Linked DNA regions of Lepisosteus oculatus. The main gene of each other region encodes a partner of the protein of the gene in region 2 in a complex. Links are inferred from orthologs where the notes say so. Each region holds a gene or a part of one and is shown on either strand. Other genes may lie near its edges. The genes, in order: kansl3 and phf20b.

Region 1 (16,066 bases), on a different chromosome or scaffold from region 2:
AATAACGCAAAAACTGCATGAACAAAAGAATTTCTTTATTTTCCTGATACATCATGAAGGATGACTCATACAATACTAAAAGAGTTTTCCCGTTTCAGTCATTTCATGCAAGGAGCTGGCTAATTTTTCTGGCAGCCTTAGACTATCACCAATTTCCCTACGGGATTAATAAAGTATTATCTATCTATCTCTATTGTAACCCAGCTGTGACATTGAAAAAAGTTCTTGGAGAAAACCCAGAGTCTGCTGCATGTGCCGAAGGGAGCAGAACCCAACTGACCTTCCCCAGGCAGGAGAGCTGGGACTGCCAGAAGCGGAGGCGTCGCGAAGTGGTGAAGACGGGACTGGTGGGCCCTGAGGGCGTAATCAAGATGAGGGGCGAACCAGGAAGCTTACTCTGAAAATATCGTCAATGAAAACAAAACTTAAGAAATGCTTTGAAGCTTCAGCAGTAACTCATACACTCAAACATCAGAAAGAATGGCTCTAATCAAAAGCTAAAGCTAAACTGACAACGCAAGACGTTGAAAACATGTCACAATCAAAAACTTTAAAGATGTCTGCTTTTCTATATAGGCACTCCAGTGTTACATGACTTGTGCAACAACTGATCAGTTTTGCTAGTGAAGACGCTGAAGTTGAATGACATGATAGAAATTCTTTGTGGTGTTCACGGCAACAATGTCAAAGCTCTTTTCATAGCAGCTAGAGCCGACAGGTTGGCAAGGTTCATGAACTTTTGTTCTAAGTTAAAACGTACACAGCCAAGGGACTCAGCATCAGCAGGAACCATATTTTGCACGCTAGTTTGTTCTCAAGTAATTTTAGGTACAGTAACAACTATTCAGGGTCAACCAAATAAAAAAAAATTTCAGAACATGGTTATCAGTTAAGCAAGCTGAAACCCCTAGAGACAGTAGAGCAGACCATCTTTATGTTTCTTGAATACAGTTCAGTATGGGTCACCCTGAAGCTGGGAGAGGAGCATACCGGTTTGTTATGGGACAGGACGCCCACTGCTGGGTCCCAGGGTCTCTTGAGCAGCAGGGACAGCGCCTCCGCCCCTGTGGCACCGGTCTTCACCGAGGAAGATAACAGCATCCGGTCGATTAATGTGGGGACCTACAAATGGACACAGAGAGGTGGATCCTAGCCTTTTAATGCCTGCAGCTCCATCACCCTGCAACTCACAACTGGCAGCCCACTGAAGCTCGGCAGGTGTGAGCCTGGTCAGTACCTGATGGGAGACCTCCTGGGAAAGCTAAGGTTGCTACTGGAAGAGGTGAGAGTGGGGCCCATAGAGGGTGCTCACTCTGAGGTTTGTGTGGGTCCTAATGTCCCAGTATAGTAATGGGGACACTAAACTGTAAAAAGGCACCATCCTTCAGATTAGACAGAAAATTGAGGTCCTGACTTTCTGTGGTCATTAAAAATCCCAGGGCTCTTCTCAAAAAGAGTAGTGGTGTTACCCTGGTGACCAAATATCCCATTGGCCCTCACCAATCATGGCCTCCTAATAATCCCCATCTATGTACTGGCTTCAACACTCTGCTCTCCTCCCCACTGATAGCTGGTGTGTGGGGAGAGTACTGGAGCATCATCGAGGTGGGGCTGCACATCGGTGGTGGTGGAGGGGAGTCCCCATTACCTGTAAAGCACTTAAGAGTGGAATGTCCAGAAAAGCGCCATATAAGTGTAACAAATTATTATTATACAACATTCTCTCTAGTGAAATTCACAGATTTCATAGAAGTCTGTCTCATCCTTGTGGAGGAAAGTGCCAGCTAGGAAGCTAGGGCAAAGTCGTGACTGTACAATACGTGACGGGGTCTTACAAACCTTCAATCCCCAATTAGTAAAATCTGACTAATATTTACAGTGAACAAAACTGAAGGGAATCTTCCATTTGATGCAATTTAAAAAGTCTTGTAACTCTTTAATAATTCCATACGAGACCAGAAAATATATCATATGGTCCTTAAAAATATAGCAGGCAATTGTATGAAATAATGATTAGGAACCATTTATTTTCAAGGCGCCGAAAATTATCCAGTGGCTGACATAGTAACATAGTAATATCCCAGATTTTCTCAGGATTGAAGTCAGTGCCACTAGCTCACCTTGCTCTTCAGGGTCTGCAGCACGTCCAGGTAGGCGGCCAACATTGGCAGACTGAGAGACTCCACCAGAGTAGTGTGGAGCCACTGGGTGAGCTTGGTGTCCCAGCTGATGCTAGCCAGAGCATGGCGCACCTTCCTGGCACACTTGTCCACAGCGATGCGCCGCAGAACTGGCTCGTTACACGCCTGAGGAGAAGAGAGGGGACACAGGGAATAGCAAGGCTGGGAATGTCACTTCCATAGCAGACAATTAATCATGTTCCCGAGTCCTTCCAATTGCTCCAATATATCATCGATCTTTTTGGTGTTCGAGCATTCACATGAAGACGTTCAAACGGTTATTGTATTCTCTTACGGCTTTTATACATGTCAGCTATTTCTTATCCATGATTTCACAAATTTTACAATCCAAACAATACACATAAAAAAGTAAATGCGTCTTATTTCTAGTTATTTTCAGATTACTGAGATTTCAAATATGCCACTTTTTTCTATTAAAACGTAGGGCAACACACTAAACATCTGTCTCAAATCCTCACCAGCTCTATATACAATTTATAAACAGAAAGTTATGTTTGTACCAGTGTAAAGTTTTAGAAAAAGATTTTTGAACATTCTGCAATACTAACTACTTAAAACTAGTTTGAGACAGGAACTGAGAGAATTGCTCAGATGTACTCAAGTCGGTTCAAGGTGTGCATATTACATTCTCACCACCTTATGAATGAGGATAAGTATTTTAGTTCTGTTAAAAACTTGTCTAAAGCAAAAAAATAAAAGAGCAAATTTATTTTTGCATATTACAAAACTCTGCCTCAAAGGAGAAAGCATTACAATAAATCTCAAAATGAAAACTGTGAATCAATATAATGGAACAAGTAATAGGTTTATTCCATGCTGAAAAGAGAAGAAAGAAAACACAAAGTTTTGGCCGTGGAGCCTTCTTCAAAAGCTCTGAATTACTGACGTTACTGTATTACTGCTGTATCATGTAATAGAAAGCTCCTGAGAGACTATATAACCCAAAGTTCACTATCTGACACCTATTGTGAGACGGAGGAAAAAAAGAGTGATAAATGTCACTCTTAATAAAAAGCCTTGCAAATCTGGAAAGAAATGTCAATCCAGGTTCCAGAGTGCATGCGCCCACTCCCAGCCCAATTTTTCGAGATCTCACCCCCTCATTGGCCAGACGAGCCTGTCTCTCAGCTTGCAGAGCCTTCAGAACCTTGTTGAACAGCTTGTTCTGAGACATGGACCAGCCTGTCCTGGAACACAGTGGGATGGGTGATTAATAACAACCACTGCCAGACACACTAAATTACTTTTCTTCACTTCCACACAGAGAACAAGTATCAAACCTACAAAAACGTGAATATGCAATCAAGAAAAACTGTACAAAACATGTACATTTTTCAAATGGCAGATGCTATTATCCAAAGTGACTTACAATCACATCCACTCAAGATGCAACAGGTGCATACAACAGTAGCACAAAACAATAAGTGCATTGCTAGAATGCTGAACAGTGCAGCCTGATAGACTGGAAGTAGCAACACACGAGCAAAGAGTCACAAGAGTTAGTGAGGGTTAGACACGGCTTGTGAGGTTAGGTATACCCTGAACAGATTAATTTTCAGTTTCTTCTGGGAAATTCAAGAAGATGGAGAGTGAGTCCATGTTTCTGACTGCCGCAGATGGGTAGTTCCACTACTGGAGGACCAGCACAGAGAACAAGCAGGCCTGGGACTCGCTACACCTCAGTACTGGCATTGCCAGCCAGCCTGAAAAACCAGATCTCAGTCCTAGCAGGAACACAGGGCCTGACAAGAGTCGGGAGAGATGGGAGCTGTCCTCTTGCAAGCTCTGTAGGCTAGCACTCGTGTATTGAACCTGATGAGGGCTACAGCTCTAAAACAATGTAGACCCAACCTTTCCCTCCTCTTGCCAAGGGAGAACTTCCCAGCTCTTTCTTGTCGATCCCAGTACGACTTTGATTTACATTCGGCAGGTGTCGGAAACTGCGATTAGTTTAGGCCTGCACGTGAAGCAGAGCCCGGGTGCTCACTGTCCTCCACCCTTCAGCTTGCTGCACGAGGAGCTTGAAGGCTCTTACTTGTTGAGGTGCTCCTCCCAGTCGTCCGGTGGCGGAGGGGCATCAGCGTCGGTCCTGGCGAAGAGCACGTGGCGCTCGCACTCGTTCATCACACTCCGCGCCTTCTGGTTGTCATACAGGGGCATCGGCGTGGGCGTCACCGTCTCCACATCGATGGGCATGTCCGTCTCTCTGCAACCACATTCATAACGCACGTCCTGCGCTGCTCATGCTTCCTCTAATAACGCTCCCCCAACCCCTGGCGTGACTTGATGGCAATGTGGCACAAAACTCAAAGACACGCTTTGTAACACCTTGCAACCAATTGTTCCAAATTAGCTGAGCTCACCACTTTTCGTCAACTGTAGCAGCAGAAGGAGTGTAATTAAAAGTTTTTCTAGGAAATTCTGCTGATGTAAAGTTATCACTCACATCAGCTTGGTGCTGCAACTTAAACTGAAAAAACTCACATAAGCAAGTACGTATGCAGGAACACTGGCGCTGTGACATGCTAACAAGTTATTTTAATTGGGAAAATAATGTAATTTTAGAACAGTAGGGCAATGCAAATCCACCCCCGTTCTAGCAAATCACAACCAAAGAAATCACAGGAGTGTGAAAAGAGTACAGACGCACTCAAAATCAAGATCTGAATAACTTCAACTTGTGAGCATGCTGGATTGTTTCAATGCAACTAATAAAGCCTGAATCTTGCCAGTCTGCACACAACATGGGGTACATATTTCATGTCCTGTAATTGCCACACTGTGAAACACAATTAACATACAAACCAATTGCACAGGAGACAGGGCAGTCTAAAAGCTGGTCTTAAAGCTGGTCTTACAACAGTGATTATACATGTCATTTAAATGAAGGCTGTCTACTTTGTATACCGCCAGGAGAAGCTGTAATACTGCAGGGGGGGTTTCCACTGCGGTGCAGCGTCTACTCACACGGTGGTGTCCTGCTGGCGCCGAGGCGTGACAAAAAGCATGCGGGTAGGGCGGGCACTGCTGGCGTCCGGGTGGGCACTCCAGGGCTTAGCGTAGCTGTGGTCGAGGAAGACCAGGTCCAGCTCCCGCTCGTGGACAGACAGCTGGAAGAGCAAGGAGGTGCCCATCCGCCGCGCGGAGGTCTGGAAGTCCCGCTCCCCGCCGCGGTACATTGTTCTCGGGCAGCTGGCGCACGCTCTCAGCGGGAGGGGGCACTCCGGACACAAGGCTGGGCTAGGGACACGGGGCACAACACGGTCACACGCTGCCCTCGCCGGCCTCAGCTGCCCACCTGCAACCTCTACCTTGCGCAGACCTGACCTGCTCTCCAAAGAGCTACATCTCCCCGCAACTCACCACTGGTGGCAGGCCACTGAAGCTCAGCAGGTGGGAGCCTGGTCAGTACCTGGATGGGAGACTCCTGGGAAAGCTGAGGCTGCTGCTGGAAGAGGTGTTAGTGGGGCCAGCAGGGGGCGCTCACCCTGCGGTCTGTGTGGGTCCTAATGCCCCAGAATAGTGAGGGGGCCACTATTCTGTTAAAAAGGGCACCGTCCTCCGGATGAGACATAAATCTGAGGTCCCGACTCTGCAAGGATAGTAAAAAATCCCAGGGCGTTTCTTGAAGAGAGTAGGGGTGTTAACCGTGGTGTCCTGGCCAAATTTCCCCCTGGCCCTTAACAATGACGCCCTCTTAATAACGAGTGGACCAAAATAATTGATTTGAAATCTCGATGGTGAGTCCACGGTTGACCTGTTGGGACACTTCTGAGAGTTTAATCTTTACTGACCATGAATATTGCGCCAGCAACAGTTATGGTAAGAGCAAATGGGCATAATGAATCTCTGACGAAAGGAATTGATTTGATGGGAATATCCATCCCCAGATTTGCCTGGATTTATTTTACTGCACCATTAAAATGCTAACGCACGATGATGTTTTCAATCACGATTTATTTACTATTGTAAGTCAAAAATTGTAAGTCAAATTGCTGGGTCCTTGATGTCGGTACAATAGAAAAGCACATGTTCTGAAAGTGAAAATTAAATTGTGATTGGAATCTCCAATTTAAACTCGGTCATTAAGTAGACTTTTTTGGGGGTAGGGGCATTTGTAAAAGGTCGGGCAGTGCTGCATTAAATGACAAAGACTGTATATTTAATACAGTGAGGGTTAAACTTTCCTTCACACTACTGGATACAAAGGCAACAATACAATATACAACTTACATTTACAGTTTATATTTTAACACCTGAACGTTCCCTAAACTACGAAGAAGGACACTGTCAAGGCTAGTAAATCAGCCACCGGGCGTGTTGCTGTTTTTGTTGTTGTTACTGTAACAGGCAAGAAAATAGACTCGACAGGCAAATAAAAAAAGACCCCGGCTCCGAGACGTTGTTCAAGCCGAGGCAGGGTACGCTCAGGTCCTGTGCTCTTTTTAAGAAAACCCGAGGACTGCCGGCCTAGGTACTGAAAAGATTCATTTCTATAAAAGAACTGTCCAGATATCACAAAGCATGGTTATTGACGTCCTTGTGAGGGCAAAGCTGGTGAAAACAATGCGTAGGAGAGTTTATCGTTATACTATAAAAACACTTACTTTCTGGCGGCATCCCAGAAGATGAGCTCACGTCATTGTGTCAAGAAACCGTAAAAGAAGTGTAATCCCAAAACGTGACCCCAGCGTCCAGAACAGATGTGTAAACTCGTTTGTACACTGTTTAAATGCGTTTTTGAAATGTGTTTATTCGCATTCCGTTGCTTTTAATGACTGCTTTCTGTTTTTGTTAAGGGCCTTTCTTCTCCTCGTATTTCAACCGCGCCACTACACTGGAGGGCCTGCTTGAAAATACGGCACAGATTTTCTCAGGCGATCCGGAGTCAGGATGCGACCCTGCTGCCGGGAGACTTGGAATATACGAAATGGATTCCCGTGTTTTTACAAGACCCGCCTACCCTCCGTTCCTCTTGCAGGGAACGATAGCAAAGAAATGAAACTTACATTTTAATAAACACTAAGGTAGCAAGTTATTCCAAAGCTTTCGATGTAAACTTTAGAAGAAAAGTCACATTTTACAAAATACCAAGGTAAAACATGATTCTAGACATATATTCACAAACAACGCGACTTGCACGACATAGTATGTTAAATTATATTGTCATCATGGTATCTGTCTTATGTGCTGAAAACTGTATGTACTGGAATTGTGGACAGTCATATACCAGATTACTCTCTTGTGAAAAGCAATATTATTATAATGAGAAAATTAAGACAATTACCTTTATCGCATTCGAGAAAATGTAACATTTATACATTTATTTTTAATTTCTTCTAAACCTTTTACCTTTAAGGCAAGTTGTGTTGGTATACTTAGTGTATTTCTAAGCGTTCTATATTTTTCCACAGCACTTTAACAGCAAAAACTATCTTTCCACAACGGGATTCTGCTGGACGTTTGAGAATTGTCCGATCTGCGCATCACCGTCCAGCATGGCACAGGCATTTCTACTGCCTGACCACTAGAGGGCCCCACTAGGCTGGATTTATAGCCGATTTATATCCCTGCCTTAATATAAGTGGAAGTGAAAATAAAGGGATAAATCAATACCGGCGGTAGTGCAGAAATCGAACGTGAGTGTCATGCAAAACAAAAAAATAAGTAGAATAGACGTCGTTCGCCATTTTTTACTTTATGCACTGAGCATTACGGATAACCAGAAAATGCCTTCAATTCCTCAATAACTCAGTGGACAACTAAGCTGCTTACCAGCTTTAAACAAATCACATTCCCAAAATGCTGTTAAAACTCTTTCAGTCCTGCGGTTGTTTCTCTCTGGCGCCCATTTTTCCCTTAAGCGGTTTGTACAGCCCAGGACCTGCTCCCTGCTCCCTGAAGGCAGGCTTCCTCTATTGGTTTATATTGTGGCCGAACCCAGCCTGCATCTCCGGACCTGCCAGGTGAGGGAGGAAGACTGCTCTCCCCACAGGGGCACTTGGGAGATGTAGCTGAGACAAGATCCCTCTTCCCTCCTCCTGCCACCCTGCCCGACGTCCTGCTCCTCACCGGGGAAGCCGACGGAAGAGCAGGTTTTGCCAGTCCGAAGCCGTGACAGATGCAGAGACGTGGGGGCAGCAGGCAGTGCGAACTGGGTGCACCCCCCCCTGGCGTTCTCCTTCTGGCGGCTGTGTGAAATGTGGCATCATCTACCGCTCTCAAACTACCTCCCCCTCCTGAGCCAGCAGGTGTCTACACGAGTGCCCCCTTTCTTTTGGCACAGCGGCTGCCTCACACTCTTGAGGCTCCGGCCAGGGCAGCAGTGACCTCTCATGATCCTGTCCTGTAGCTCAGACATGGGCCGTAGAGACACAGACGTCTTGCCCTCATCCACCTGCTCTTCAAGCTTGGGCCTGCGAGGTGGTGATGACCACTCTCCATTCTCCTGTAGGCTCAACTATGGGATCTTTCTCCAGCACAGTGCTTGCTTAAATCTAGTTGAGGAGGCGATAGCCAGTGTTCCTCCTCATGCTCCGACCATACCGTGGCCAGAGGAGCTCCTTCCTCTGCGGGCACTCAGTGCACACTGGATCACAGCATGGTACTGTAGGGTTTGAAAATGAAGGACAGTAGGCATCAAACTGTTAGCAAGTGTTTGTGAGAAAGTATTTGTAGTACCTGTAATATTCCCTGTATCTCTGTGTACAAACTGAGCAAGGCAATAGTGTTGGCTTTTTATGTACACATTGAGGAAAAATAATCAAATTCCCATTTAAAATCAGATTAAATGAAATACATCTTATAGCTATATGCAAATATTAAATTCCACTGGTTTTCTGTAAGCATGAATTTGTATGCTTTACAGTGAGGGCTGAGGTGTTTTTTAATAACTATCAGGAGGTAGAAGGAGCTGGACAAGTTTTGGAGCAACCCAGTGAATCAGCTGCTTCAACATGGCTTGGGAACATGCTGCATCCACCCACAACTCACACTGCATGAAGTACCTCCCCTTGACTCCTCAAAACTGCCTCCTCCTTTGGCACTTTCTCAAGTTTTTTTTTAACATTTTTAAATTAGGATCACTAATTATTTTGATGATTTGTAACCCAGTCTGAAAGCGCTAGTTTATGCTCTTTAAATGTAAGCTGGGAGTGATTCTGTAAAGCACTGCATTAATGGAATAAATATCAATTCGTGAATTCAGCCAATGAATGTGAAACATTTTTCATTAACAACTACAGAGCACAAAGGAAGGAGCTGAAATCATCAGAGGTTTATCAGGTGAGAAACAAGTTTAAAGACGGGGTATGATATACTGTAGATGCAAGCAAGAACTAGGAAATTGTCATTTAAAATGAATGAAAAATTTAATCGTAAGTAATGTTAAATGTATGCCAAATAAAAAGACAGTTTAACAAAGTTTGTTTTAGCTCAGTACATGGTATCATTTATCAACAGAATTGAGACAACAATAGACAGAAACCAATTAGTGGAAAATACATCCCATGATGAAGAACCAAAAGTACACAAGTGAGAACCAAAACATTCATAGCACCCATTACAAGGCATACATTTCAATTTCATTACAGTATTGTTTTAGAAATTAATTTTCATACAATAATAAAGACGAAACAACTGACAATCCTGGTTTTCAAGTTATTGAAAGCATTCATCACCATGCTAAATTACTAGAAATAAAAAAAATATATAAAGCAAGATACAAATTTGCCAAGGGTACTCTGGGAAAGAGAGCTCGTCTAGAGAGTGTTACCATGGTTGGTTACAGGAATGATAAAGTGCAGGAGATTGAGAAAGAGATGAGCACATACAAGGTATTTTAAACTTCACTGAACAGTAAGTTGTTGCTAAAGATGCAACAACACAGACAAATTGTATTCTGGTGGGAATACACAACCTGAATTAAGATTTAAGCACAACATTGCCAGCACAATACCTCATAGAAGGTCTATAATAGTGTACAGACTTCATCTGACAAAGCCCCCCAAAGCATCAGCTATCAAAGCCCAAGCTAATGACATAGAACACTTTCTGTTCCATTGATGTTGTCTTGACTTGCAGGTATTATCATAAGCATGGCTCTTTGTAAAAGTTCTCAATTTGTTTACTGATAAAATAAAAACAAAAAATCATTGTGATCTTTTTTTTATACTGTTGCCCACCTATACACTATAAAATAAAGAGCAGAATTAGAACGCAATGCAGTTTGACATTTTAACATCTTCCACTTGACAAACCAAGGAAGTGTGAAATTGCAATATGCTGCGTGACTTTGGTAAAACACAGGTGCTTAGGCAGCATCAAAGTAAATGACAACACTGCAGTGGAGTTAAATCGGAGCCAAATGTTTCTAAACAGGGGAGAGAAAGCTTACAAAACTCGATGAGAAAATGCACCTGGGTTATTTGACTCAGTCCTGTAACACAAATAGATGAAAAAATTCTTTGAAACAATAAAAAGGCTTTAATCCTTGAAAAATATTTTCTATATTTCAGTTTGTTCTGAATCAGTGGCATCCAGTTTAAAAATAACTGAATCATAAACATGAAACATTTAGTTGAGCAAATATGACAAGCAAGGCAGAAATATCTCATACCAAGGAGGAATCTGAATACTGAGGACACATTTTTCCTCAAATGAATACGTATCACCCTGCATGGCTTTTTTCTGTCACTTGACAAGAGGCCTCCTACCAAATCATTAGTAGAAATAAGTTAAAAATACATATATATCTGTATATATCACAAAAACAAAACCCTCATTAACATTCTTCCATCTCGTAATATCGACACAGAATATTAAAAACCTCAATATTAAGGTATCCACACCAGTTTTCACCTGGCCTGCTTGGTATGTCTCAAAGGTCTGAAGAGAGATCTCTTGCATTTCAGTACTGCACAAGTCTGCTCACATACTGCAGTCCCGTAGGTTTTATAGGCATTTTTAAATGTTGGGCCACTGCAGACCTGAAAACTTGGTGATTTGTCAAAGTGGCCATCCATATTGCTCCGAAGTGCTATTTGACATATGGTCTCTGGCCTATAGCTGCACAACAGCATACACACATATACAAAGTGCAATCAAGAAATTACAAGCACTCACCCTAAATATAAAACTAAATTTTATATAATGATTAAAAATACATTTCCCTTCCAGTTCCTGCCATGGAAATCTAGTTCAGGTGACATTTTGGCTTTGCCTAATATTTTCAAAACATGGGTATTTTATCATTTTATTATTAGTGTCATATTTTCAAACCAGTTTTACTACTCAGGACAATGGACCAAAACTTCAAACAGCCATGCATCTGCAGAACGTGTACTATAAAATGTATAAAATTAGAAAGACGGTAAATGTTAAAGCCAGTTCTATTGTTTGCTTTAACTAAAAAGCTTTCTTCGCTTTACCTTTACTAATCATACCTCTTGACAGCTTCTTAATTTCCTAATTGCAGTGTATGCATTAAACTTTAAATACCTTACATGCTTTTGCGTTTATCTCGGAAAAACAGACCAACTGCACAATAATTAATGTGGCAGTGGGTTTTTAACTCAGATCCTTAGGTTCCACAATGAGCAACGATCAAAATCTACCTGATCCAAAAAACGTTTCGGTATACACCTTCCTGGATAGCAATAACATATCAGTTGTAAGAGGCAAAGAGGCAACACTGCCTCAAAACTCATCCAGTGTAGTGTTGTCTATCTCCAGACCTGTGAGCTAATTATTGTCTCAACTGGTCCAACCCAGCACTTTTGTAAGGTGCCAGACTATGACTCTTTAGGATTGCAGTAGTCTAATTAACAGATACGCTTCTGCTTGAATTATATTACTTTCCTTAGAATTTTACCGTCTCCAAACTGGTTTTGTGGGCTGTTTTCAATGATCTGTCTATATAACACCACACACACACACGTGTTTGGTAGTTTCGGGATTTTGAGCAACAGCTCACAGTATCCACAAACCAAACAGGAATGAGGGGTTTCGCTAAGTGCGAACACACTTCATTTCTGACAGGATTGTCAAATTTATTTCCTGCCCTAACTGTGTATGTGATCAGGACACCCCGCAGAATAAAAAAAGCAAGACTATACTCCTTTAATCACAGTTTAAATGAAAAACAAAGTGTGTTTGTTTCCATTGGTGGCAAACTGACCACAGTTCATTGACAGCTGGGAAGAGCATTTTGCCCACGATGGAAAACAAAGGCCTTTAACACTACAAACTGCTTCTCTGGACTGAGTCCATAATGAAAAACAGATTTATTTTCTATGCAAGTTGGTCGGATGAGTTCTATCCATTTTAAAATCTGCTACAGAGTGAGAATTTCAGACTTGCTTCTCAACTTAAACGTCTCCTTTTCGTTCGCTGTGTATGAACAAATGCAGTAAACGTTTAATGGTGATTTTCAATCAGGATCCTCGAGAGCCCCAGTCCTTCAAAGCTTTATATGAATCAGAGGCTAAAGTTAATATTAATCATGTTTAATTAGGGCCGATAAATCACTAACTGCTATACCTGGAAAGCATGGTTGAAATTTAAACCGGAAGATCCTTATATAAGTAACAATTTCTGGGTTACAACAAGGCTCCATTATCTCCAGCCCAATGAACGCAAAGATAAAGGAGTAATTAAATGTCATCAAAACATAATTACTGCCTTAAAATACAAATAATATACAAATTAAGTTGTTAACCAATTAAAGAATTACTAGTCTAAAATACAAATAATTTCACAATTTTAAGTGCACTTTAACCACAATACTGCCACCTACACACACAAAGAATGGGATTCCTACAACTGACTCTATCAGGTCAGCATCTGAACACACAGTTCTAACATCAGCTGTGTGAAATATTGTAAAATAAGTCTACACAAGAGCTAACGGGTATACCTGACAGCAACCTTTAAGGCAACAGTCTCCAACTACACTCCTGTGGAGCCTCAGCCCTTCATTGCTTTTAAGCATCTAAAATAATTGGCTAAAGCTCTCTTTAATCTTGAGTAATCAAACGGGTAATTGAAAAAACATTTATTGCAATGAAATACAGTAACCTACTGCATTTGGCTGGACCTCTACCTTGAGCCTAATGCTCATAGGTTGCTGTGACACCAGTATTAAATGGCATTCTGATAATGGACATAGAAATGGTACAGTAATTGAAAGCTGGGCTGGAAGAAAAAAAAAACAGAATACTATGCATCTCTCTGTGACCTGAGTGGAGGTTCTTGGTTTAAGGAAAGGTCGCTGGACAGTATAATCATTAAAAAACAAAGTACAAAAAAAATCTTTAAATACAAGTATAAAAACTGAAATCTGTGTCTTTGTCGCTAGAGGGCACAACAGCCTAGGTTTTGACACTGTGCTTAATTATGCAGTGGAGGTTATTTTAATCTAGCTGGTGCTACTGAAATGCAAGAAGTTCTAATACAGGCAAACCAACCACAGAAAACATGTTTTATCACAATTTATGGAGGGATTACCTGCATTTGTATAAAGATGATAAGAAATTAAGAAGCTATGCGCTCTATACTAATTTTGAAGACAAAAAAGGGTGCATTTGTTATAAAAATCCCACACTTTTAATATTTTTTCTGTGCTTTTTTGTTACTGCACATCTGTATTTGTATTTTATACAAACGCAGATTCTTTCTCCAAGGGAGAATTTCATATCTTTATTTATTGATTAAAACAAGAATTTAATCAAATAATTCATTCTCGTGAAGTCTGTAAGGATGTTATGAATTTACAACCCGCACAACGTCCAATCATTTTAACTTGTCTATAGGCAAATAACCCCATCACCCCCTAACCAAATCTAATTAACAAGATAATGACAGACAGGCACAGGGATAAAGGCAAATAAGAATGGCACACAGCTGGTGGGGTACTGCCAGGGCAGGGCAGGGCAGGGTGAGACTTGGTAGAACCACTGCCATTAACCAGGAACCCCTGTCTGGGGATACCAGTGACAGAAAAACTACACATTCTTCACACAACATGACAGCTCTTCAGTATGTGATTTACAACAGAAGTGTGAAAAGAAATGGATGGTATGACAACACAACACAGGTCTAAGAGGACAGGCTCTCAAAGGCTGGTGTGAGAATTGCTTACCTCCAAATTCTGGGCATAAAACCAAAATATTTGGCAGTGTTAAATTTAAAAGAAAACAGAAAACTAGATTTTCCATGTCCTAAACCTTTCTTGGCTCTATAAGACACAGGCAAGCCCCTTCTGTCCTTGCATTCTCTATGCAACTGTGAACAAACCAGCCAAATGCTTAAACAATGTGCTTAAGTGAAACTCCATTAATGACTCTCCCATTCCCCAAACCCTTCTGGAAGTAAAATGTGGAGCAACTGCAGTATCTCTTTCAGATTAGATCTCTCTAACCCAATCTTGCTGCTGAGCTATATGGAGGTTTCAGCCTGTCCTCATAGTTCATTCCTCTTTAGCCCCAGGATTAGTCCTGCTGTTCTTCTCTAAACTAAGCAGTACAGCATGACAGTCTAAGCTAATAACAGCAGAGCTGAAAATCAATCACCTGCTAACCTATTTCCCTTCCAGACTCACAATGTGAAATGAATCGTAGTGTCTTTTCAAAGCCAGCGTGCTGACACAGCCACCTACCTAACCCATCCTTAACAACAGTGCACTTCATAATACAACACTAAAGAATGGAAGGAAAACTAGACTTTACCTTTTGAATACAGCCTTATAACTGAAGTGCATTCATGTTCTAAGCCTCAACGTCCTCTAAATAAAACCGCAAAATATGCTGCCATTACGTTGTGATGGAGCAGATTTGAAGTTGTTGCTAACATGATGGTAATGGTGCATGATGTGCCACATGGCAAACAAATTTCTTTTCACAATCTTCTGTTACTCATCAGAATTAGAAGAGGAATTTGCAGCTACTGAATTGTGCATGCGTGCTTTTACTCTAACTATCCTAACATAACACAATACTTCAGCTGATGTTTCAGGCAGGACAAGCTGGGGAGGATTCTTGCAGATAAAAAAAACAAGGTCTGATTTAGTAATTAGAAGACATCACCAGACTTAAATGGTTAGCATCCTAGTAGAAAATATTTAAAGCATTACAAGAATTTAAATATTCCCTTTATACAAAAATACAATACACTATTGGCATGATGAGCACTTATGTCAGATCCTTAAAGCAATAGAAGCTTTGCATCAAGCAAATATATACTGTACACATCATCAATTGAGCATTATTTCTTAATGCCCACTCCTTTGCCCTTTTAGCATTAATATTCTACAATTTTATGCTCTTCCTTTGTAATGATTAAGAAAATGTAAAATGTCTTATGCTTGGAAATACCACATTCAAGTTGCACAAGACAAGGGCTGTGATTTATTGAGTGGTCTGCAAGCCTTTCGCTTACTTGCCATGTGTAGTGTAAAAGAGGCAAGCGATTTACTCCTTGAGTCAAAAAACTAATTTTAACATAGTATTTACTATCAGTACATATAGTATGTACTACAACTGTTTTTACTATTGCTTATTTTTTAGAACAACACAAAATGAACACCGTGAATGGATTCAAAAGAATAACGCAAAAGGTAGTATTTTCTCCTCCACACAACCGCAAACTGGATATCACGCCGGAAAAGAATATTGGGCTGCTTACAGACAACATTTTCTACAGATCTTATGAACGGGTGTTTGAAATTATTGAAAAACTGTGTTTAAGAATTGAAACCAGAATGTGTTTAAGATAACTGAAACAGTTATCATTCAGTTCCTAAACTGTCTTTTTGTGTCCTTATTTGTTGCTTCTTTGTTGTTGCTTTTATTTTGTGCCTCTTTGATCAT
Region 2 (15,801 bases):
CCTTAAAGCCAACAAACATCATACAGCCTTGTGCTACATCTGTGTGCTGTTCTCATAAGTGAGAATGTTTCCCAGTGGCCATCCTGGAGCAGGGATTTTCTCTTATACACGCACATATAACATGTGTTTGCGACACCCCAGAAATGTTCATACTAACTTGACATCATTTCGTACCTCAGAAGGGTCAGTGTTAGAAGTTAGAATTCAGAAATGTGCTTCATTTTCTAAAGGAAGGTAAAACAGGAAAAAGCTGTCTGTGCTCTGCTGTCCTCTCCCTACAGTGTTCAGTAGCTCTTGGTGTTAATCAGTGCCGACTAACCCACACTTCTTCCCAGGAGTCACCTACCATCTTTATTGACAGCCAAAACCTTGGCAGGGTAGAACCGACAGTCAGACCAACTTGCCAGAACCTTTTCGTTCACCCGGAAACCCTGCAGACGTGGGACAGAAGATAAAAACAAGTTTATTTCACAATTCAAGGCAAACCGTGGGCCTTATAAGGATGCGTTAGGTTAGTTCTCACGGGGAACACTGTGTCAAGTTTGGTGACCGCGCTACAAGAAAGATACTGCTGATTCAGAGGCAGTACAGAGGAGAGTAACCAGCTTCATTCGGGCCGGAATAACTAGGTCAGCAGAGACACAGGGATCAGGAACACAAGTGGAAATGAAGTGTAGGCACACTTAAGACAGGAAAACAAGAGACAGACGATTATGGGAGTTTGGAGGGAACTCTCAAGTGTTTGGAGCGGAGTCTGTGAAATTCTCACAGACAGGGGTAGATTCTTTCATCACTACGCTCCTAGGAATGAAACGAGGACGATGGGCCAAATAGCTACCTCACGTCTGTGACCTTTTGCAGGTTCTTGTAAAAGAGAGAGCAGGTCTCAAACAGCACCAGCTGCCCTCTCCCTTCACGCAGGGCCTGATGCAGACATTTTTTGAAGATGGCTGCTCTTAACGGCAGAGCAGAAGAGACGTTTAGGAGAGGTTTTGCTTTCGAATCCAGGGATCTAGGCGCTGCGAGGCAGCCATGATGAGGCGCAGGGACTCCTCTGGAGACACACTTACAGGTACGCCTTCGTCCTCCTGTAGGCCTTCCTTCCTCAGCTGGACTCTCTCCACGGGCCGCAGGTAAGGGCTGGCCCAGTCAAACCATTCGTCGTAGCGGTGACTCCACTGTCTGTAGTGAATCAGCACCTTCTCGTCCTCGTAGTCGATCTTCTCGATGTTCGCCGCATACCTGCACGAGCCGGCAAAACGCGCTTTAGTCGGTCACCGACATCCACCGCACGCCAGTCCAGTTTTAGCGTGTAAAAAGTTTTTAAAACAAATAAAGGAAAAAAGGAAATAAATCTCAGAACAACTTGGGGGGGGGGGGGAGAAAAGGAGAAACTCACCAGTTCTTCAGGCTGTCCCGAGCCTCTAACTGAGCTCCCACCTCAAACTTAATTCCCCTCCTGTTTGGTGGTGTCTTGCTCATTCTGTTGACATTCAAAACTGCAGGGCAAGCCAAGGGAAGGGAGAATCAGACAGAGAACACAGCAGGGATTAAACAGCAGCAGGTTGGTCCAGGCCTGGGACACTGTGCCTGCCAGCTTTCTAGGTCTCTGTAAAGCACCAACACCTGAAGATCTGCAATAAGCTGGCACACTGGTGCCCTTTCACCAATAATGTGCTGCTTTGTGTCATTAAGAGGTGAGTGTGTATACAAACCTGCAGACACAGAAGACCTGGGATGAGACCACCCTGTTTGAAGAGAGTATTTCAAATCCCAGCCTCTCCCTCCCAGTCCCCTCCTGGTTTGTATTCTATCTGAGCCCATGGTTACTTCGTTTAACACGTCAATTTGAGCAATAATTAATTAGATGCTAAATTCATTTTTTACAACGTTTTAAGCTTTTATGTTAGCAGCTTTAACACTGTCTGTAAATCCTAAGTAATGTAATTCTAAGTTTTTAAAAACAATAAAAAATTAACAGAATTTCTGTGAATGCCTTTTGGATGTTGATGATCTCAGTTATTACTGTTAAGCTTGTGCTCATATTTTTCTATTGAATTTTTAATATAAAAGTAAAAGTATGACTGGCAACTTAATGTTATTTACCGCTTGTACGGAGTAACATGCTGTGCCAAGAGGAGCCTACTGTTTGACTATTCTGTTGATAACTATCCTTCAGAACCATGTTTTACATGAAATAATAGATTAAAAACCATTACACATACCAGAAGATAGCACAAAAGAAACATCCTGGAAAATGTATATACTGTAATAAACCGTTGACATTTTGGGCAACCATTAAAAATGACATATAAAGTAAATTTTATAATTTTTTTGTCCAGAAACAATGGAAATTGGGTAATGATCAGAGGAAAGTGTGAGAGGTATTGTCCTTGACTATACATATAATGCTTGACAGTTATAATTGCTGAACCGATGTAAAGGAAAAATACAAACACTGTGGAACTGTCATAAGCACCAGGTCTTGAGTACACAAAGCACTAACGTGTGCAGCCACACAGGGTGAAAGTCAGCTTTCAGTTTGTGAAACTGCCACACTCCCACTGCGTGCCTTGGACCTGTCTCTTCACTCCCTACAGCAGAGTCCTGTCTCCCCTGCTATTTTAATTAGACATCACTGTGACACCACCTCTGCAATTATGCAGTGGGAAGAAAGCAGGCAGAAGGCAGCCGACAGGCCAAGAAGCAGTAATTAAAGATCAACAAGGTGACGAAGATTGAGAGGCATCAGGGATCCAAGATGTCTACCACAGAACGTTAAGCTCTTCTGTCGACGCTGCAGAAAACCGAAGCTAGCGAATCTCGAAGGCCCTTCGAAAGGACTTCAGCGCCTTTAGATTGAGGGTCTAGGCCTATTTCATTGCGTGATGGGTTAAAATGTAGGGGTTCACCTGTGCAAAAATGTCTACATCTCAATAGCAAATACTCCAGCCGAAATTGCTTTGGAATAAGTCGACATAATCAAACAGCAATATTTTTGATAAGGAGGAAAACATCCTAAACCCATGAGTGTGAGCTACGGAATGACAGGATGCAGTGTCTGCAGGGACTCTTTAAAGGAAGAAACCCTTAGAGTCAACTCTCAAGTCCACTTTCACTGTTGTGGCTGTGATGCAGATATTAACAGCTTTAACAGAGCACTGTTAAAGGAAAATAACACTCAAGGACAACTTTAAACAGTTTTAAGATTGAACATCAAAATCCTCTTGACCACTTCAACAGTATACTGCTGTAATGCAGAAATGACATTAGAATGTGAATAAATGTCTTCTCGTATTTAAAATGCAGAAAAATAAAGATATAGTGCGTATAGAGATAAATTATGTGTGGTATGAGAAATAGAGTACTAAGACAGTATAACTACACACATCGGGCTCAGTCCTCCCACATGGCTAGGCAAATATTTCAAATTATTCTCCTAATTGCAAATACAGTTTCCAGCATTCACAGTCATCATAATAAATTTGTTTAGTATACAGTCTTCAGTAGCGGTGTTGTTTTATTGTGTCTAAATTACAACACGACAACTACACATGCCTTAATTCTATACGATCCTCAACCCTTTTGGATAGAGTGGGGGTTTCACCCAAACACACGCACAGTTATTGGGAAGGAAGACATGGCTAATTATGTAGGAAATATCTTGGGATTTTCCACGTGGGAACACTGCAGAACAAGAAGCCACCTGGAATGCATGCTGCAGCAAGTCTCCACCCTGTTATCAACCTTAAAGAGTTGTTTGTGCTCAGACAGGAAAGCAGCACAGGGCTAAGAATATGAGTGTTTAATCAGGACAGAAGTCACTGACTCATTTTTACACACATTCTGCTTTCCTGGCTTTTATACCAGTGATATCAGCAACTGATTATATCTATACAAACTTCCCACGAAAAAACAAAGGTGTCGCCTTTTCCTTCGACTCACTCAGAGGGCACTATGTTGTGTTTCCAGGTTTTCAGTGGGCGTGGCCTGTGGCCTCAAGGGAACCAGCCTCTACTGATATAAGCAGCTGTAAAGAGGTGTTCCTGATTATATCCTGAAGTCATTTCAGAGTCAATTCACAATGACAAACTCTACATTACTGCATGAGGCAAGATTCTTGTTATGATCATAATTAACACATACTGGTTGATTAAACATTAAAATTATTTTAAAAAACTCCTCTTTTTCAGCTGTCTGAACTCTACTGCTTGAAGAGCATGAAAATGAGGTAAACAGAAATGAGAACAGGAGGTGCTTCTGTACACAATGAGTGTGAAATACCCCCCCATGTTCTTGAAGCCAATATCCTGGCCTATTTCAGAATACAACAAATCTTTTAGCTACTAACGGCCATAAGGCCTAGTTGTGTTGAATGGCACTTACTTTTGTTTGTAACTGTTCTTATGCTTTACTGAAGGAAAAAAAGCTCCCAAAATAAGTTTACAGACAAGTTCAGGGAATGTTAAGCAACACCTTCGTAATGCACCACATGACAAACACTTTGAACTGGCAACAAGGAAGAGTTACAATAAAGGGTTGAAACTGTAACTTAAATTTATGAAGGCTTGATTGATCATCCTGTGCATGGCTAAACCAATGAAGCAATGAACCAGAAGCTGGGGAGGACTGAAGAGCTCTGCTGTATAACCACTCCTCTGTTCAGTCCCCCTGTGGCATCTCTTTGGCTCTGCTAGCAGCAGACGTCTTTCTCTGCTCAGGTCTCGGTCCTTCTTCCTCCACCACCCTGCAGAAGTTCTCCTGGGCTCACCCGCTATTTCATTACATTGCTGTAATTTCATGTGGTGCCGCTTATTTTCCGTCACTAGTTCCTTCAAAGGTCTCCTGATTAATTTATAGGTGACTGATTGACGTTCTGCATGTCGGAAGCTAAGCAAGGCTGGGCTTGGTCAGTACTGGGATGGGAGACCTCCAAGGAAAGCCAGGTTGCTACTGCAAGCTGTCTGTGGACCAGTAGGTGGCACTCTTCACTATAAACAGGAATTACCAAGAACCAATATCTCAGAAAGGTGATTAGGGACACAGTGCTGAAGGAAGCAGGGGTTTTTGCTCAATTCTACTTTGAAGGGGTTCTAGCAGGGAGCCGATTCAGCATGCAGGAACAGGTGAAAGTTCATTCCATGCTGAAAGGTAAGAAACACTACATTTCGGCGAGTAGGTGAACTGGCCGCTGTGAAAACTGGCCCTGTTGTGAGTATGTGTATCTGCCCTGTGATGGACAAGCATCCCACCCAGGGTGTATCCTGCCTTGCTCCTTTCACTTGCTGGGCTAGGCTCCAGCTCACCTCCCCATCCTCACAACCCTGTACTGGATAAGTGCATCGGATAAACAAGTAATGGATTCCACTGCATCCTTCATTGGATTCTGCAATTCCAAACGTCCTTTGCTGTTAATTAACAGCAGTCGGAGTCCTGGACCTGAAAAAAACTCATGCACACGCCCTCGACAGTGGCATGAATTGGGCGGAGAGGTGGCTCTGTGGCTAAGGATCTGTGCCTGTGACTGGAAGGTTGCCGGTTCAAATCCCGCAGCCGGCAGAGGAATCCTACTGCACCCCTGAGCAAGGCCCTTAACCCTAACTGCTCCAGGGGCGCCGTACAATGGCTGATCCTGTACTCTGACCCCAAGCTTCTCTCCCTGTCTGTGTGTCTGTGTCTCCATGGAGAAAAGCTGGGGTATGCGAAAAGACGAATTCCTAATGCAAGAAATTGTATAGGGCTAATAAAGAAACATTAACATTAAAAGAATATCCTGCATCTATCCTTTGCCTTTTAGGAAAAGGGGGGGAGCTTCCTATCTAATAACAGCAGGTGGCAGGCAACTTCCTAAAAACGAAAGCTTTGCATTTTCATTTCAGCTCAGGGGAGTGAATCGACTGAAGAACGAACCAACCCACACGGGAAGTTCCCTTATTTTTAACACCGTTTGAGTCCAAGACAGCCTGCAATCCCATCTGGAACCTTCTGCTCATCTTTTTCATTACGTAACATTAAAGAGAAACACTGTCGAAAACTAGTAATTACTTCAATAGTATAGCAACGATAGTGCAACCCTTCAACTTATCAACCAACCTTATCAGCCAACTATTAAAAACTACAGGTTTGACAAATGTAGCTGTGTTAAAGGCACAGCTCCCGTATTATTAAAGTAAGAATCTGAGCATCCAGTCACGTGTACTTTCCAACTGTCTACTCGTTTTAATAATTATTAGCTTTTTATACTGATATTGTAATATAGCCAATAAACGTAAAAATCGCATTGCAGTTAGTTTTGTTGCTACACATAGAACGTTTGATATATTCAGTGTAGAAAAGCCTGAATAAAAGTAACTCTTTGAGATACTATTTTTTTTTGTATTTTAAAGTATTATTTGGGAATCAGAAAAGGAGGGGGCACTGGTCGTCAGCTCCAGGTTTTCAAAGAAGCTACACAAGACGCTGCGTTCACTTCTCTGCCGGCTTGAAGATGCAACCTCTCGGGAAGCTACTGCCGAGGAAAGAACAATATGCGCCATGTGAAGCAGGAGCACACGTGTGACCCCAGGCTTGCAAACCGGAGGTGTTCCTCGGCCCTAATGCAAATCGCCGTTGTAAGACGGTGGGGCAGGCTGTGTGTCACCGAGCCCTGACCCGGAGCCTCGCATTTCAAGTTGCGGAGCCGGAGGACAATCACTGCAGCTGCCGAGCACAAGTCGGGAGCGGAGTGACGCAAATGGCGCGCAATACGTTTCTCGCCCGTTGTTTATGCCACTACCGCGGGCTCCTGGACGAGTGAACCCCCCTCTAAAACCGGGGTGCCGTCCGGTTTGCGAAGTCGGGAGACTTCCGCTGGCGCCGCAAGATCTGTTTTATGGATCAACCCAAGATACTGGATTAACCGTTTTATTGCAAGCACCGCCTGGGTTTTGTTTCCTGCGTGCACAAAAACGTGGATCCAACCACGAAAAAAATATCACCTCCGACTCCACAGAGAAGCCAGCGGGACGTGCTAAAGCATGTCCTCGCTAAGCACAAGGTGGACGTTGCTCTTAGAAACACAAAGTATTTTCAGGATTTCGGTGTTTTAAAGACGGAAAAGTAAAACCCCACATTGCCGATACTCTCCGCCCGTTTGCCGATTTCAGAGAAGCTTACTGGCTGCCGGCTCTGACAGCAGCGGATTCGAGGCGCCTGATTGGACGAGCCGCTTGTCAATCGTTCGGCCGACTTTGCCGGGGCCTCTCCGGCCTGCACACATCAGTCTGCCGTAATTACTACACGAACTGAGAAGGGGACTAACTTCCCAGAAAACAGGAGGAAAAAAAAAAAACCTTCCCCCCCGAATCATCGGGAAAAAATTACATCAACGCTTCGGCTCTGCAAAACAAACCATCGCGAAAGCCACTCCTTACATACCCCCCAAACCTGCCCTTCACGGGACAAAATCTTTCTGTTTTCTCCAAAGTGTGAGGATAGCATCACTCTCGAGGAGACACATGCGGCAACTTTATTTTTTTCCCCCTCCTGATGCATGGCATCACAAACACTTCACATGGCAAATAAACAATGATGAAGGCTGAGTCGCACGCAAAACGTCGTCCCTAGCCCCGCTACGACGTGGGAACGGTCTTTACCTTGTATTTTCTTACGTGATCCCCCGCTGATGATGCATGTACAGTTAGCTACTCCTTCCCAGACTCTAGCGCACTGCCACCCTCTCGGTGTCGGCTGCCCACGCAGTTTATTTTCCCTGCGTGTGTGTGAGCGGAGAGAGAGACTCCGACTGCTGGCCTTCTGCGCTTGCGCCGGCGCGCCAGGCGCTCTTTCTGATTCAAGAAGTGTAGAATGTTCCTTTAAAATGGTGACGAGTTTTATTCCCAATTTCCCTTCTCTTTGTTCGTTTATTTCGTGCACGAAACATATACGTGCACGGTTACATGAAAAATATTTATTAACGTCCGCTCGGCCGCGCGTCCGAATGGAAAGAGAGCTTGTGTTCTCCCCCGGATAAGAAAATATTCACGTTTTGGTCGGGGTAAAATGCTTCTATCCGGTCTTCCTTTGACAGGGCTAAGGTTTTGGGGGGTACCGGGGTTTCTCAGCGAGACTGTCCAGGAAGAGGGGGGCATACTAAAATTAAATGGAAATGTTTTACCGCCAGCGATCGAGTGTAAGATCACTTAAAATCACTAAAGCGATGTCCTGGCTACGCTTACACTGAATTGACCTGCATTTATGCGCTTAATTCTTTAAAAGCGATGCAGCCTTCAACGATAATTATTAAGTTGATTTGGCTTCTAATTTGACGGGTCTTGATTGACTAATGCTGAACGGTAAAGCTAAATAAACTCGCATTTCATATTACACAGAAGTACTGATATTTTACTAGTAATCGCATTTCGCTTTGTAATATGAAATGCGATAGTTTATTAAATATGCGGTTAATTAAAACTACGAAAATGTTATGTAGCTTAAGGGAAAGAAGTAAAAAGTGACCTAGGTGAAATAGCGTGAGAACTTTTTCACTGACACGCATTATATGGGTAGCATATATGCTTGTCCTCCTCTCTCGTACCTTTAAAGTTACTCATACCTTTAGAGTTATTCTAAGCAACAAATCATTTTTATACGTTGTCTGGATTGGTTCCTTCACGATATTTGAGACATAATATAACGTTTTGTTCTTGTTAATATAAGCCGTTTTTTTCTCACAAGGCTTGAGTCCATTTGTAATCTTTTTTTATTTTATTTATTTTGGCATGATTTCTTAATTATTATAGCCACTCACAACTGGCAGCCCACTGAAGCTAAGCATGTGTGAGCCAGGTCAGTACCTGGATGGGAAAAACTAAGGTTGCTGCTGGAAGAGGTGTTAGTGGGGCCAGCAGGGGACGCTCACCGTGCGGTACATGTGGGTCCTAATGCCCCAGTATAGTGACGGGGACACTATACTGTAAACAGGCGCCGTCCCTCGGGTTTGACATAAAACCGAGGTCCTGACTCTCTGTGGTCATTAAAAATCCCAGGGCATCTCTCGGAAAAAAGTAGGGGTGTAACCCCGGCGTCCTGGCCAAATTTTCCATTGGCCCTTATCTATCATGGCCTCCTAATAATCCCCCACTATGAATTGGCTTCATTACTCTGCTCTCCTCTCCACTGATAGCTGATGTGTGGTGAGCGTTCTGGCGCACTATGGCTGCCGTCGCATCATCCAGGTGGATTCTGCACATTGGTGGTGGTGGAGGGGATCCCCATTACCTGTAAAGCGCTTTGAGTGGAGTGTCCAGAAAAGCGCTATATAAGTGTAAGCAATTATTATTATTACGTATCTTAAATTAAGTGTGCATAATTTCTTCCTCGCTACAGCCAAGAATTACCTGCTCAACTCTGACACGCTGACACGATTATAATGAGATTATACTGACATTTTTCCTCCCCTTGAACGGTGAGAGAGGAGGTGGTAGAGTGAGAAATATCCTTCAGTTACTGAACTATTTGAGCAGAGAAAGGTCATGCTCCCATTCTGTATTAATAAAAACGTTTAATTTATTTAGATTGAACCGTGGTTTTAGTTTATCAGTAATTAGAACATTATTTTAGTAGCCGCTATTGATAAAATAGATGTGTTCATCTCTACTCAGAAACCGTACGTACCAAACTCGAGGCATATATAATAATAAAGTGAAATGTATGTATATAGTACTTACAGGTTATTCATACCATCCACTTTTGGAGATGAGCTGAAGTTATTACTCTAGAATAAGAAGGAGCTGTTTTGTATTACTTACTTGAATCATAATGTCAAAAACTAAACTTTCACAAACTGAATTACAGTACTCATGCAGTAACGAGGAAGTTAATGCCAATAGGACATACGTAGGTAGTGCGTGTTCAATCTACTCCAAAGATAAACTATACAGGGGGTTTATAGCAAAGTTTCTAATGTTTTCTGAAAGTCAAAATGTATTCTAACACACCCAACAGACAAGACATAAAAATAACCTCAGAATTTTAAAGATATAGAGAGCATATTTCGAAAGATGAACAATTGTGAAGTTTGCAACAGGTTAAATGATTAAACGTGTTGCCACACTTTTCAGTCTTATATCTTATATATTTGAACTTTTTATAAATATTATCTTTATCGTTTTAGCAAATTACGATTGATTTCTGTACCCGATTATTTCTGGCACAGTAGACTGTGTGGAAAAGAACTTCTGCATCTCTCCAATTATCCCAGCAGAGGGCAGTCTCAACATTTTGTTTACTTGGTAGTATCCCTGTTTTATTCGAAACCCTACCATTGAACGTAACTATGTGCAGTAATAATAAATGAACAATTCGGAATAAAGTCTGGTTAAACCGCTTACATAATCTATTTACGGAATAACCAAATTTCACATAATTGATTTTCAAGCCATAAAACAACTATTGAAACAGATTAATTCACACAATACTGCGCTCAGACAACGGGAGTATTCCAGCTGTCTAGGAAAGCTCCGTTAAGTTGCCCCCCCCACACAGAAAGCACAAACGATGAAACCCATCTCATTCGTTAGTGCTACGTTTGTGCCAGTTTGTGCCGTTGAAAGGAGCGTCTCTGCTGCTTTCGTTTCCGAGATATAAAAACCTTTTATTTCCGGGGTCGTGACGTCATTGAGCTCCCCTACAATGTCGTAGGGAAACCAAAACGGTCTCATTCGTTAGTGCTACGTTTGCTGCTTTCGATCCCGATATATAGCGCCTTGTTTTTATCGGTGATCACGTGACCATGGCTATGTTCTATCGCAACATATGGACTTCATGTCGCGACATGGGGGCAGGGCATTTTGTTGGGGGTATGTCATATCGCGATATTCGGGCTTTATGTCACGACATGGGCATAACAGGTTTTTCATATCGCAATATATGGACTCTATGTCGCGACATGGGGGGTGGGCGTTTTGGCTGGGCATGCCATATCGCGATATAGGGCCTTTCATGTCGCGACATGGGCGTGACAGTTTTTTCATATCGCGATATATAGACTTCCTGTCGCGACATGGGGGCGGGGCATTTTTTGCCCGGTAGGTCATATCGCGATATGCGGGCTTCATGTCGCGACATGGGCGTGACGGGTTTTTTCATATCGCGATATATAGACTTCATGTCGCGATATGGGGGCGGGGCATTTTTGCCGGGTATGTCATATCGCGATATGAGGGCTTCATCTCGCGACATTGGTGCGGGTGACGTTTGTCATATCGCGATATGTGGACTCCGTGTCGCGCCATGGGGGTGGGCGTTTTGTCGGGGGTAGGTGATATCGCGATATATGGACTTAATGAAAGTGGCGGCATGACAGTGATGTGCCAGTCGCAGTGGGTATCAGGATGTGATCGTGATGCGCGCACTCCTATTGTGACATGCTATTGGAGTCGTGAACGCGCTGTGGATGCCTTGACATTCTTTGTCTGCTATTCAGTTTTGACCTCAGTGCGACTTCTCTTAGATTGATTAGTAATTGGAAACCAATGGATGTGTTACTCTATAACCAGCGTACTCATGCAGCACACACGGTTAACCAGGGCTACAGTATTTGGCGAAGAACATCCATCACCTGTGTATCTACATGTTCTAGGAACTTCCGCTGTTGCACTTTATCCAATCAGAGTGTCGATTCTCACTCTTTACCCAATCGCGGCCCGGACTGTTCGGGAGTTTTAGCCAATCACGGGTCTGAGAGCTGTTCAAGCTAGTAGCGCCTGCTGGATCGGCTTGTTTACTGTCAATGAGAATCTATTTTTAAAATGCTTTACTTATTTGCAAAATAACTACATTGGCTTATTTGTTAACGTCTTTATTAATTCACAATGTCCCGTACTCTTTGAAATAAATATATTTTCTATTTGCAATATAACTGTCTCCGCTGCTTTCTGTAATGAATATTTATTTGAACAATTTTAATCGTATATTTAAGGTAGGGGAAACACTTTCTGATTTGTACTTCAAAAATTAATAGAAATGTAAAGTCTATGATCATGATATTACTATGCTCGTGCTTTCAATTTTTTTTATTGTTAAATTATATCGATCTTGAAACTAATACCCAAAAATGGGAATATTGTCTCTCGTGTTGTACCAGCGGTAATTTAGAAAATTTGGAAGCAATACATTTTCGAGAACATGGTTATAAATTAAAAGAAAACACCTAACCCAATAAACTAACATATTAACTCCTCCCTAAAAGAAAGTGTTTATTAGTAAAGGCTGCAAAGTCTGGGGTCAACTTATCAAAATATTTCTTTTAAATGCACTTCACGTTAGAAAAGACGTATGTTGACAACTACGAAATAAATAAAAAAGCAGTAAATACATTGGATTTATGAATGTGGGTTTCAAGATTCAAATGTCCAAACCACACTGTTTTACCGAAAAACACAAATGGTAAAATCAGATTAGATTTAGTGGCTTGGTGCTCTCCACTGTCTGAGCCATAGAAAATCGAATGCATGAGGGATCCATTATTCGTCTGCAGAGTGAAATCTTTAGTCATGGTTACATCATTAAAGAGTGACTTTACTACTGAGAATTGAGTTTTGTAACTTCTCATGGTGACATTAATAATATACTGACAAATTTGGCATCTGTTTCACACTTTAATTTATTTATATTTTTTTAAATTCGTTTCTTCTGCTACCTTCCATAGCGGGTTGTTTTTTTTTTTCTCGTGATTGATTTTAGTATGCGTTAGTAAAATATATTAGTCACTACATCCCTAACACAAACCCACCCTCTTATCAGTCTTAAATGAATCTGTTCAATATACTGTACTGTATATTCATATTTTATGTAAGGTTCGGGGAGTTGAGATAATGTGGTGCACTAAGATGACCTAAACTGCTTTGTCAGTAGGCCAATGTACCTGCAGAAGCTTGTCTTATGTTCATCTTCATCATCATCATCATTTTCCAACTGCTTACCGCTGGTGATGGTCGCAATGGTAACAGGCAGTCTGAGTGGACCAGACTTCCCTTTCCCCAGCAACAGTCTCCAGCTCCTCCGGGGGAACTCCCAGGCCAGCTTAGACATAGAATCCCCTCAGTCGGGGTCTCCAGTGGGCCGTGCCCGGTACACCTCCAGTGGGAGACGCCCTTGTGACAATCTCAGCAGATGACCAGCCCACCTCAACTGGCTCCTCTCAATCCCGCAAATGTACACATACACACGTGTATAAATACATACACAAATGTACACATACACACGTGTGTACAAACACACACACAAATGTACACATACACACGTGTGTATAAACACACACAAATGTACACATACACATGTGTGCACAAACACATACACAAATGTACACATACACATGTGTGTACAAACACATACACAAATGTTCACATACACATTCCTCCCAGACTGCTGAGAGAGTAAGCCCAGCAACCCCACGGAGAAACCTCGTTTCTGCTGCCTGTCCCCACAATCCCATTCTTTCAGTCACTACGCTAAGCTCGTGACCACAGGTGAGAGTAGGGAATTGGATTGAGAGAGAACACAGAGAGCCTTGTCCAAAAACTCAGCTCTTGCTTCAACACCATGGTTTGGTACAGAGAACACACTCCTGCAGCCACTACACCCATCCGCTGGTCAATCCCGTGATCCCCTCTGCCCTGTCTTGTGAACAAGAGTACTTCATCTCCTCCACTTGGGGCGGCTGTACCCCCCTCACCTGTAGATGATTCTTTCCATCACTCAATTACGTCATGTACAAAAAACTCTTTAGGAAACCCACGGAGGAATGCTTCCATGGAATGTATTTTCCAAACTTCCAATGTCCGCGCGCGAGTGCTTTGTCTGTGCATTTTAATAATGGTATTTGGAAAAAAATCAGCCCGCTACTTACGAACTGGAAAAGGGCAGTAAAATTCTCCAGTGTAAGCTGCCTTGTGGCAAACCACATGATTGACCAGCAGCCATATCAAGTATTTATTGTTCGCCACACTGCAGGCAGAACAATTTACATTTACTAGAAAATGAAAATGCTGGCAGTGTGTATATAGATTTCCCCCATCCCATGGTTTGCAGCATAAGCAGAATTTCCGAATTTGTCAGCTGGCATGAGTCGTTTTTCCCCAAACGTGTTGTGAGTACAAGCCAGACAGTAGTAATGCCATGTGTGATTTGGGTAGGAGATGATGCAAAAGAAAAGTTTTAAAAGAGACTGAAGCAAACTTTCCGTTCAAACCAGCATCTCAGTTTCTTGTCATAAGGAAGATAATGGGCTATGTGTTTGTGGCGTCCATGTCGATTTCTTTGGAATTATCACAGCTGACAAGCGTGTGCATCTTTTGCCACCCAAAATGATAATGCAATATACTTCTTCTCAGACCCTCAAACATTACCACATATTAGACACGGTGAGAAGATACAACCAGAATTAGATGGAATTATAATCTAGTAAAACTAAAAAAATGAAGAGCTCTTCCTTTCTGTCATGTACACACTTAGCTTCATCACTTAAAAAGCGTATGGTTTTGACTTATGCAATTCAAGAATGAAACACAAACTGAAACCAGAAATGGCTTCAGATCACTGACACGCACGGCCACAGTTCTCTGCCAGCTGTTTGTTTGCAGATGAGAAAAGGCAAAACCTTCACTTGAGCTCACTTTTCAAAACAAGCAGGAACTGCTGTAACTAAGCGTGGTAGAAGCCCTGCAATACTCTTTTAACAGCCCCATTCCCAAACTTCAGTGTTAACACCCATCTGAAAAAAAAACTGGATTCACAAAGCATTATCACAGGCACCTCTCTCAGATGTGATTTTCAATCCGCCACATATCTCAAGCAGCCTTTGAGTTTAAATACTCTTCCCCCGTTTGCCTTAAGGCATGTGTTTTCAGAATGGCCCCAGAAAGCAAGGGTCTGTTCTCAATGTGGTGCATTGTTTGTGTTCAGCCTGCCGCGTAACAGAACCAATTTAGAAGTTAACTGTTTTTTACTCTTCACTGGGGCATGTGTTTGACGGCTGGATGACTGCTGACACATCTGGTTTCTGAGAACCGACAATACTACCACAATACATAAATTACGCTGCAGAAAAAAACAACAACAAACCTGCACCACAGATTGTGTAAATTTACAAACTTTATTTTTTATTTATGAAATTAGGTAAAATAAAGCATCCGACATTGTCACGGTCTCTCACTTGTATCTCTTCACACAAACTGAATGTACTGAGGACGGCAGAGGCATTTACACCGACAAAGCCAACAGCATCTGAATACAGAAAACAGCAGCAAATAAAAATGATGAAAAGCTAAGTGCAGGAGAGGAGGGGATGACAACCTGTTGCTTGGCAACTGTAGGCATTACAGTTAAAAGTATTACAGTTCACTTCTTAGCACACGTTATGAACAAAACATCGAAGAGTGGTTATCAGTTTGTTTTCCACAACAGGCAGCCAACAGCAAAAAAGAAAAGCTTCCTCTGCATTTTTAACACCTGAAACTATAATAATCTTTATCCTCATTACTTCAAATTACAGTAATTAAGACATTGCTATTCACAGACGGTATTTACATGAATGAATCTTGATTTACCTGCCGTGAACATGTTGAGGTAAAAAATGAATTCCAGGAATTATGTGTATTGAATGCGTTGTGCTTATGTTGTGTCTGAGCAACTTCCAGCTGTTGAGGCTATTTCCCTTCATTCTACAACATTAAAATGTTAAACATTAACATAATGTGAGACACCAATCAGAGGGTAAAAGAAAAGGGGGAAAATTCTACAGTCCTATGAGAGCAAACTAGT

The links.
Region 1: phf20b (region 2) and kansl3 share a complex: the UniProt entries of both Homo sapiens proteins name them as parts of the NSL complex. The link is inferred for Lepisosteus oculatus from reciprocal best matches to the Homo sapiens genes PHF20 and KANSL3.

Annotation. Positions count from the first base shown.
Region 1 is NC_090697.1:73,307,670-73,323,735, reverse strand, and holds the start of kansl3 (KAT8 regulatory NSL complex subunit 3), read right to left. Parts: upstream 7,077-16,066; 5' UTR 6,809-7,076; intron 5,442-6,808; 5' UTR 5,381-5,441; coding exon 5,169-5,380; intron 4,408-5,168; coding exon 4,237-4,407; intron 3,389-4,236; coding exon 3,298-3,388; intron 2,307-3,297; coding exon 2,121-2,306; intron 1,123-2,120; coding exon 991-1,122; intron 398-990; coding exon 281-397; intron 1-280. UniProt on the Homo sapiens protein: Non-catalytic component of the NSL histone acetyltransferase complex, a multiprotein complex that mediates histone H4 acetylation at 'Lys-5'- and 'Lys-8' (H4K5ac and H4K8ac) at transcription start sites and promotes transcription initiation.
Region 2 is NC_090711.1:7,197,296-7,213,096, forward strand, and holds the start of phf20b (PHD finger protein 20b), read right to left. Parts: upstream 7,721-15,801; 5' UTR 7,635-7,720; intron 7,561-7,634; exon of another isoform or gene 7,417-7,560; intron 1,500-7,416; 5' UTR 1,483-1,499; coding exon 1,400-1,482; intron 1,243-1,399; coding exon 1,071-1,242; intron 432-1,070; coding exon 347-431; intron 1-346. UniProt on the Homo sapiens protein: Methyllysine-binding protein, component of the MOF histone acetyltransferase protein complex.